Oryctolagus cuniculus: one gene and its partner. The protein of the gene in region 1 interacts with the protein of each later gene in a pairwise test. Links are inferred from orthologs where the notes say so. Each region holds a gene or a part of one and is shown in the gene's direction. Other genes may lie near its edges. The genes, in order: RPP30 and RPP14.

The links.
Region 2: the proteins of RPP30 (region 1) and RPP14 interact in binary tests that used the Homo sapiens proteins (3 or more experiments, as listed by UniProt). The link is inferred for Oryctolagus cuniculus from reciprocal best matches to the Homo sapiens genes RPP30 and RPP14.

Annotation. Positions count from the first base shown.
Region 1 is NC_091446.1:39,534,511-39,538,952, reverse strand, and holds the start of RPP30 (ribonuclease P protein subunit p30), read left to right. Parts: upstream 1-1,497; 5' UTR 1,498-2,335; coding exon 2,336-2,486; intron 2,487-3,769; coding exon 3,770-3,825; intron 3,826-4,238; coding exon 4,239-4,295; intron 4,296-4,442. UniProt on the Homo sapiens protein: Component of ribonuclease P, a ribonucleoprotein complex that generates mature tRNA molecules by cleaving their 5'-ends. Also a component of the MRP ribonuclease complex, which cleaves pre-rRNA sequences.
Region 2 is NC_091441.1:91,676,415-91,680,919, reverse strand, and holds the start of RPP14 (ribonuclease P protein subunit p14), read left to right. Parts: upstream 1-1,430; 5' UTR 1,431-1,605; exon of another isoform or gene 1,606-2,039; intron 2,040-4,505. UniProt on the Homo sapiens protein: Component of ribonuclease P, a ribonucleoprotein complex that generates mature tRNA molecules by cleaving their 5'-ends.

The DNA of each region.
Region 1 (4,442 bases):
AAATAGCTTGTAGATCTTTATTCTTTTAACTGCTGCAATGGAAAATGCCAGAAATAACAGGTGGGTTTTTGTGTGTGTGTAACTTGTAACTTGTCTTGCAAGTTTTAAGCCGTATTTGCAACATACTGAGCAATACCGTTTATAGGAATTACATTTGTAAATGCTGTTTAGGAACTGGCCCCTCTAATAAAAATGCCTTGTGAGCTTGCCAGTGGTAAAATGTTTTTGTTGCCTGGGAAATTTTGTTCACTTAATGTTCCAGGCAGCATCACTGTGATGATTAATCTGATGTGTGCACCGGACGAGGCCATGCGGTGCTCAGGTATTTGTTCAGTTATGCTGGGTGTGTCTGTGAGGCTGTTGGTTGGTGAGATCCTTGCTACCTAAGTCACACCTCTAGAGCAACTTCTCACCTCTAATCCCTGCTCACCTCCCGTGTTCCCTCTTGTCTTTCCACTCTTCCCACCCCTTCCTCTCTTCTTGCATCTCCTGCCTTCCCTTCCCTCCCTGTTCCCTTTCCTCTCTCCTTTTCTCCCCTGTTGCTCTGCCTTCCCTTCTTCAATTCCCTCTTATTCTCCCCTTTCGCCTTCCTCCACAACTCTCCCCTTTGTTTGGTTTGCTTAGGAGGTAGCACACTAGGCAAGAACTTAACCAAATACTTTGATTCACATGCAGTTCTACCATTGTTGCCTAAGCCTTAGATTTCTCCAATTTAAAAAGAGGATTTTTAATAGTATTTACACACCTTCTTTGAAAACTAAATAAGATACCTCCACAGTGATTTAGAAACCTGGCTGTCCTGGGTCCAGCATTGTGGCTCAGTGGATTAAATTGCTACTTGCAGTGCCAGCATCCCATATCAGAGCACTGGTTCAAGTCCTGGCTGTTCCGTTTCTAATCCAGCTTACTGCTAATGCACTTGGGGATAAAAAAGAGCAAAAGAGGATGCCAAGTACCTGGGCACCTGCCACCCACTCAAGGATCCAGTTCCATGCTCCTGGCTTTAGCCTGGCCCAGCCCTGGGTTGTTGTGGCCATCTGGGGAGTAAAGCAGCAAATGGAAGATGTTTCTCCCTATCTCTCTCCCTCTCCCTTTCCTCTCCCTCTCCATTTTCCCATTCTTCCTTTCAAATAAATAAATACATCCTTTAAAAAAAAAAGTCTGAGTGTTAAGTGTATGTTTAAAAACAAAAGATTGACCATCCCTGAGCATAATCCTTTCTCTTGCTTTTTCCCCTAAGCACAGGTGCAGAGGAAAAAGATGCCAGTATAGTCCTGCAAAATTAATGCGAGATTTTCTGATAAAAGCAAGGCTTAGTTTTGTGTGACCTCATTCCATTTGCAGGAATAATATCGTCTTCTGTTCTTAGGAATTACCGAGTATTGAAAGAGGCCAAAGGTAACCAAGAGGGGAAATGCAGGCTTCTACAAGGAACAGAGTCCTGAAAATTCCCTTGGGAGACCAATAAGGAACTCAAGGAGACCAGTAAGTAAACAAGTACTACATGAGGCGTGGGCCTAAGACCAGAGACTTCTCTGTGTACAGTTTGTGATCAACAAATACAGAGACTGAAAGCCTTTAGAAACGTTGGAGCGCTTTGGCATTGTCCGCATATCCGCGCTCCTGGTCAGGTGACTCTCCTGCAGCCGAGTTCGGGGAGCTTCCCTGCTGGTGAGTTGCTTAGTCCCTGAGGCGCTCACTGGGATTGCATGAGGAAGCGGGGTGGGGCACAGCGAGGACCTGCCGGGTGTCACGGACAGTTTCACACGCACGGATGTAAGTCGCACGGCAGTCCCACGACTCTGTGCTGTCGGCGAACGGATCCAGCAGTGTACAAAGTCATGGAACCAAGTGCAAAGGAGTGGAAACCTCCGATGCGCGGGCTACACACTATCTCGTACACTTTTCACATAGAAAATTGCAAAACATTTCCAGTTTGCACTTTCCTACTCCAAATCGCCTTCGGCTAAGCCCGCGTGAGTGCAGACCGCTCCTCCTGGAGCGAGCCCTGCCCTCTTGTGGCTGAAGATCAGACAACAGAGAACAGCGCGCTTCGACCGTTCAAAACTCCGAGACGCTTCCAACGCTTAGCAGAAGCGTCTGGTCCAAAGATTCACTTTCTACATCGTTTTATGGGAGTCAAGAGCTTCGACCCCCTACAGGGAAAACCAAGCTGCCTCATTCGGAAAAACACCAAGCATTGCGGTGAGACTTGATTTCAAGACACTGGTGATACTTGGAGGGAAGACAAATCCCTGCGGATCCCTAAAAATAAATGGTCAATCCGCAAGCTGGAAACTACAGTCCACGGCACACGTAAACTACAACTCCCAGCATGCCCCAGGGGGGCGGGCTCGGCGGCTGCGCAGAGGAGTGTGCGTGTGGGGTTTCGTGGGACTGCAGCATGGCGGTGTTTGCGGACTTGGACCTGCGAGCGGGTTCGGACCTGAAGTCTCTCCGCGGGCTGGTGGAGACCGCTGCTCACCGTGAGTTGCCCCTCTGGAGTTTCTAGGATGTTCCTGAAGATTTGCCTCGCGGCTGATGGATGGCAGAAGGCAGGGAGGCCGGGCTCCAAGTGTAGAGTCTTTTACGCTCAGCCCTTCCTGACCCTTCACAGTGGCTGAACAAAGGCGGGAAACGAGGGTCCGGACAGGGAGTGCTGTCGAGGCTCAGAGAAGAGGGAGAAGGTGGGAGAGGGGGAGCTGGGGCAGTGTTCTTTAGAGGGTAGGGGCGGAGGACATGGTGGGCGGGGGCCGGCGTGACCCGAAGGGCGGGACGCCACTCAACTTTTCAATGGAAGGGAAGCCCTAAGAGACGAGACCTGTGCAATGACTGAGGTTCGTCATGGCTTCAGTTTTCTTCGAGTGTGGGACTGGCGAGGTTAAAGGGTAGAGGTGCGTGCGGTTGGATCTGTTCCTCCGGGGACCGTTCTCAGCTCCTGTGAGCGCTGATGACTGGTGCTAGAAACAACCACTCCTTGCCAAGGTGAATGGTGCCATTTCTTCGTGGCCCCTTACGAAGTATCGTAGGGCCAGGACCGTCTTTTCCGCGCAGCCATTGTTAGCATTGCCTCCCAAGGCATTCCTCCTCAGGCGGCAGGGAGGGTAGATAGGACGAGCCCGGCCAATTAGCACATGTATCTTTGATGGTTCCTCTGAGGTGAACTTTCCAGGGTGTAGTAAGCGTTGCCTCCTCTAGGTGGGAGTCAGGTAGGTAGCCCAAACGTCCAGAACGGAGCTTGCTCTCTGATGAGAATGGTATGAGGATACTTCATGGAAAGTGGAATAAAAAAATGTATTGAGGCGCAAAAAACTTGAAATCCACGCATACTCATAAAGCGAGCCCCTGCTCCCAAAGAGTTCCTCGTGTGTTGGGGTGGGCAGTGGTGCGAGGGAATCCTCACTGCCTGGGTGAGGGGTCTCTGCAGGAAGCAGGCAGAGAGCCAAGTGAGAAAAAGGTGGCAGTGGAGAGCAGGAAGGTCGGCAGGATGAGAATGGACAAAGGGACGTGAAAGAGTCTGATGGGTGGACAGGAAAAGCGCAGCTAAAGGCCTTGCTGATAGTAACTCAGAGTAGCTGTCCATAGGCCAGGAGCTGTCTAATTCCCTTGACGGGCGTAGGAGTTAGTAGACGGTCTCACACTGGAGTTTGCAGCCATAACCACGGTGCTAACCTGCCTTCTGGTCTTGAGGTCTAGAGTCAGCATGGGTCTGTGGGTACAAGGAGAGATTGCCTCGTTTCATAACAAGAATATTCCATTTTCTTTCCAGTCGGCTATTCAGTTGTTGCCATCAATCATGTTGTTGACTTTAAGGAAAAGAAACAGGTAAAATTATATTTCTGAAGTTAATATGTTGGAATTGTCATGTGTTCATGTGAACATATTTCTTATGTGTTTCAAAAGTGCACTGGTATTGACTTGAACTATAATCACAAGATTGACTCTTCTTTATTTTATTGTCATGGACTCATTAACCAATTTCCCTCTACAACATAAATTTTTTCTTTAGGCCGACAATTGTATCTTATAGATTATTTCAGTCTAAAAAAATCAGTTTTTTTCCCTCCTGTGCATAGATTTCTCAGCTGCTTCTCTGTTCTCTGGCTCTTTTTCTTTACCATCTGTTTGTTTGTTTGTTTGATTATTTTTTCCCAAAGAAAAACTCCTTGTAAGTATTCCATGATGTCTTGTGTTGTTAACATGTACAGTCTTGGGTAACCACTTATCTTTTCTTGTAGGAAATTGAAAAGCCAATAGCTGTTTCTGAACTCTTCACAACATTGCCGATTGTGCAGGTTGGTGTTTTTTCTTTAGGAAGTGTAATAGTGAGTTCAGGCATACCCAGTCTGTGTGCCGTTCTCTGGCCTGAACCATGCCTTCCTCTCCACGCTTCTGTTACCTTTCCACCAACGCTCAACTGTTCCATGAGACATTCCAACTGT
Region 2 (4,505 bases), on another chromosome or scaffold:
GTCCTCAGGGGGCTTATGCTGCAGCTTCCCTCCCACCCAATCCTCAGTGCAGCGGGGAGAGCGCCGGCTAGAACCTGACAGCCCGTTCCACCACTTCTCACTGCGTCGTCTTGGGCAAATCGCTTAGCCTATCTGTGCTTCAGTTTTCACTCCTGCATGGTTATAATAGCTACCTCAGGACTGTGAGGTGGTTCCACAAGGTGACCTGTGTAGAATTTTTTGCATAGTGCCTGGCGCACATTAAGCACTTGAGAAATACTCACCGTTGTTATTATTGTTTTTGTTATTATTAAATAAGTCCACCGAATTCCCAGCACCCAGAATTCCCAGCACCTAGGGCTGGCACTGTGGGGCAGCAACGGACGCTGGCATCCCACGTCAGAGCACTGCTCTGACTCCTGGCTGCTCTGCTTCTGATCCAGCTCCCTGCTAATGCATCTGAGAACTCAGCAGATGATGGCCTGGGTCCTTGGGCTGCTGTCACCGGTGTGGGAGACCCAGACGGAGTTCTGGGCTTTTGGTGTCCGCCTAGTGGCTGTTGTGGCAATTCGGGGCGAGAACCAAGGAGTGGAAGATCTCTCTTTCACTCTGCCTTTCCAAATCATAAATCTGAAAAAAAATAAAAATAAAAAATAAAAAGGCCGGCGCCGCGGCTCACTAGGCTAATCCTCCGCCTAGCGGCGCCGGCACACCGGGTTCCAGTCCCGGTCGGGGCGCCGGATTCTGTCCCGGTTGCCCCTCTTCCAGGCCAGCTCTCTGCTGTGGCCCGGGAGTGCAGTGGAGGATGGCCCAGGTGCCTGGGCCCTGCACCCCATGGGAGACCAGGAAAAGCACCTGGCTCCTGGCTCCTGCCTTCGGATCAGCGCGCTGGCCGCGGCGGCCATTGGAGGGTAAACCAACGGCAAAGGAAGACCTTTCTCTCTGTCTCTCTCTCTCACTGTCCACTCTGCCTGTCAAAAAATAAAAAATAAAAAAATAAAAAAAAACCACAGACAAGAATAGTGCTGAGTGCACAACAGGCACTCAGCGCGGTGTTAGTGAACAAACGTATGGATGAAGCTTGGCTTACGTTTGCAAACAGGACCAGGTGGGTCTTTTCGTGTCCACTCAGAGCACCTCCTATGTGCTGGCAACCACAGGGGACACTGAGGGAAGGTGCTGTCCGTCTTTGGGAGGTGCTGGGTACAGCAGAAGTTAAGCAGCGGAGATGCTAGACATCTACTGGCTGAAAAACCGAATGCATGAATAAATGAATGCCATGAAGCACTCTGCGGGGCTGCATACACACACCTCACGACCCGCACTCCGAGCACCCGGGGCGCCCCCAGGTTTCTCCCGAGTGGACACCAGAGGGCGCTGAGCTCCGCAGGGCTCACATCCCGAGGAGGATTCACCCATGGGTCCTGGGGCGGACGCCGCGCGGTGACGTCACATCCGCCAGGACGGCACGCTTCCGGGGGCGGGACAGGAACAAGCCAAACGAAAACTTACCGGGAGTTTGCCGGGCCCAGGCGCTGGCAGTCCCTTAGGGGCTCCAGACCTTGGCGGATATTCGGAGCGAACCCGGAGTCAGAGGAGGAGTCTTGCTCGTCCAACCGAGAGCAGGTAGGCGGAAGCCCTGGGGCGGCTGTTGTGTTCCGGACGTGCGCTCAGTCGGCCGCGCGGGTGTCCCCGGGCGCGTGCGCCGGGGTAGAGCGACCGGGAGGGAGGAGCCAGGCCGGAGGAGGTGCTGGGGGGCTCCAGCCGATCGTCCTCCCCGGTGTCGGTCTCGGCCGCGCCGGGCGGCCGGGAGGACTAAGCGGGCCCAGGGGACAGTGTGCTGCATCAGCGGCGGTCGCCACTTGGAAACGATGGAAAACGCAGGTCCCTAAGTCGCTGGGGGTTGATTTGTTGAAATAATTGAGTGAAAGTGTGGAGACCGCCTGCCGTATGCGGGGCCCTATTGTCGGTCCCTGGAGAAGGGCAGTGAGCCGGACGGAGCCGTGGACACCCTGCCGGGGCAAGGAGAGGAGGAGGGGGAGAGAGAACGTGAATTGCGGGTCTGTTACTAGCTGGCAGACGCCCGGGGTGGGGGGTGGGGGGCGAACAGGGCCCGAGGCGGGGCCGGGGGTCGTCGCGGTGTTAGGATGGGCACCGGGCCACGTGGAGGGGAGTCGGGGAGGCCTAGAAGGAGGCGGCGGGAGGAAGGGCGGTGCGTAACTGGCGGGAGAGCCTGGTGCGTGCGCGGCCCGTGTGCTGGAAGGGACGAGTGCGGGCCGTGGCGGGAGCAGCGGTGCGGGGTGCGGGAAGGGCCTCCCGGCAGGCGCACCCGGAGTCTGGCCTCGCTCTAGACAGATCCGGAGAGTGGGGTCTGGTAGATTCTGTGGCTGCGGGGGAGGGGCACAGGGGCGGAATCGGAGACCCTTGGTACCGACAGAGCAGTTTCTAGGCTTCCCTGCCGCCCCTGAGAAGGCTGGCTTCAGAGGGGAAGTGGACCGTGACTCCAGGCGTGCTTCCGTTTGGTGGCGGGCCTGGGGGCCGTGCCAGGCTCATCTTTACTTTCAGAACAGCCTGCAGAGGGCGCTGGTGTCACTGAGGAGTCCGGTTTTTGGCGAGCTCATGTGTTCCATGAGTTTGGAGAGGTGTTTTGTTTTGTTTGTTTGTTTCTTTTTTTTTTGGTAATATATGTGTAAGGTAAAACATCGTTTGATCCATTGTTTTTTTTTTATTTATTTTTATTTTTTGACAGGCAGAGTGGACAGTGAGAGAGAGAGACAGAGAGAAAGGTCTTCCTTTGCCATTGGTTCACCCTCCAATGGCCACCATGGCTGGCGCGCTGCGGCCGGCGCACCGCGCTGATCCAAAGCCAGGAGCCAGGTGCTTTTCCTGGTCTCCCATGGGGTGCAGGGCCCAAGCACCTGGGCCATCCTCCACTGCACTCCCGGGCCACAGCAGAGAGCTGGCCTGGAAGAGGGGCAACCGGGACAGAATCCGGCGCCCCGACCGGGACTAGAACCCGGTGTGCCGGCGCCGCAAGGCGGAGGATTAGCCTAGTGAGCCGCGGCGCTGGCCTGATCCATTGTTGTGTGCAGTTAGGTGGCATTAAGTGCATTCTGACTGTTGGGCAGCCACCATCGGTATCCATCTCCCAAATGCCCAGGGTCAGCAACTCCTTCGAAGCACTTGGAAATACTTGAGAAAGCACCTGTCATGTGCCAGGCACTGAAAGAAGTAGATGCGATTTTTGCTGTTTTTGCGCTTCTGGTTAGGCGGGGCTCTGGGGGCAGGTGGACGGTCACTGTGCTGTCCTGAAGCCAGAGGCGCAGTTGAACATAGGGTCCCCCGCTGCCGCCGTTCTCTGAGCTCTGTGTCCTCCAAGCCAGACACAGAAAATGCTGAGGTCTGTTGAATGGATGTGTGGATGGAGCTCCTGCCGTCCGGCTTGTGCTTGTCTCTGGGCTCTTCGTCTGGAAATGGGCCTGAACCTGAGAGGTTTTGAAAATGCTCGTCTGGATCTCTGTGACCTTGGCTTAGTTCTTCTCTGTGCTTGGGCCTCAGTTTCTGGGTCTCGGCAGCGGGGAGCCCAGATACTAAGCAAACAAGCAGTGTCAAGACGTCCTATAACGTGAGCATTCCCGAGAGGGCGGCAGAAGGGCTCGAGGGGGAGGCCGGGGGAAGAGGAACTGGAGGGCAGCACTCTGCGGGCCTCGAGCGTGCTCTGAGTTCTCGGAAGGCCCAGACCTCAGCAATGGCTCTGAGTGCCCATTCCAGGAATTCCTCAGTCTCTCACGGAGCTGCCAGGTGGTCCTGCCCAGACCTGACCCTGGACCGAGAGCAGGTTCACCTGGAAGGGGGGCAGCCAGCTGCTTGTTCGTGCTCTGGGCTGACTCAGAGTAAACCAGAAAGGGGCCCGCAGGTCTCAGGTTTGGCTCCTTTATGTTTTCATTTTTTTCCTCTGGATCCAGAGGCACCATTCCAGGGCAGTCTTGCCATGGCAGAGTAGGTAGAGCCTGGGCCAGGCGCTAGCCATGAGGGTGGTAATAGTGTCTGCCTCATAAAATCGCTTTGAAGGCGCAGAAGCTAAGGCATGTGCAGTGCGTAGTGCACACTGGGTGCTTAGTAAGGAGAAATGGGAGCTGGCTTGTTACTGAGGTGGAAGTGAGGGCAGTGGTCTGGCATATTGAACAATATAGCAGCTTCCTTGTATCTGTGGGGTGACCTGCATTTGACCAGAATTAGATAAGTTGCTGTCCTAAGAAGTCACTTTAAAATAAGTCATATTCTTATTAAAAGTGTGAAAAATAGCATTTTAATTTTTAAAGGTTATTTATTTGGAGGCAGAGTGATGGAGAAGAGGGGAGAGACAAAGAGAGCTCTTAGCTGTTGATTTGCTCCACCCCGAATTGCTGCAACAGCCAGGGCTGGGCTGGGCAGGAGCCAGGAGTAGCAGAGGCCCAAGCACTTTAGCCATCCTCTGCTCCTTTCCCAGGCGCATTAGCAGGAACCTGGATCAGAAACAGGGTTGC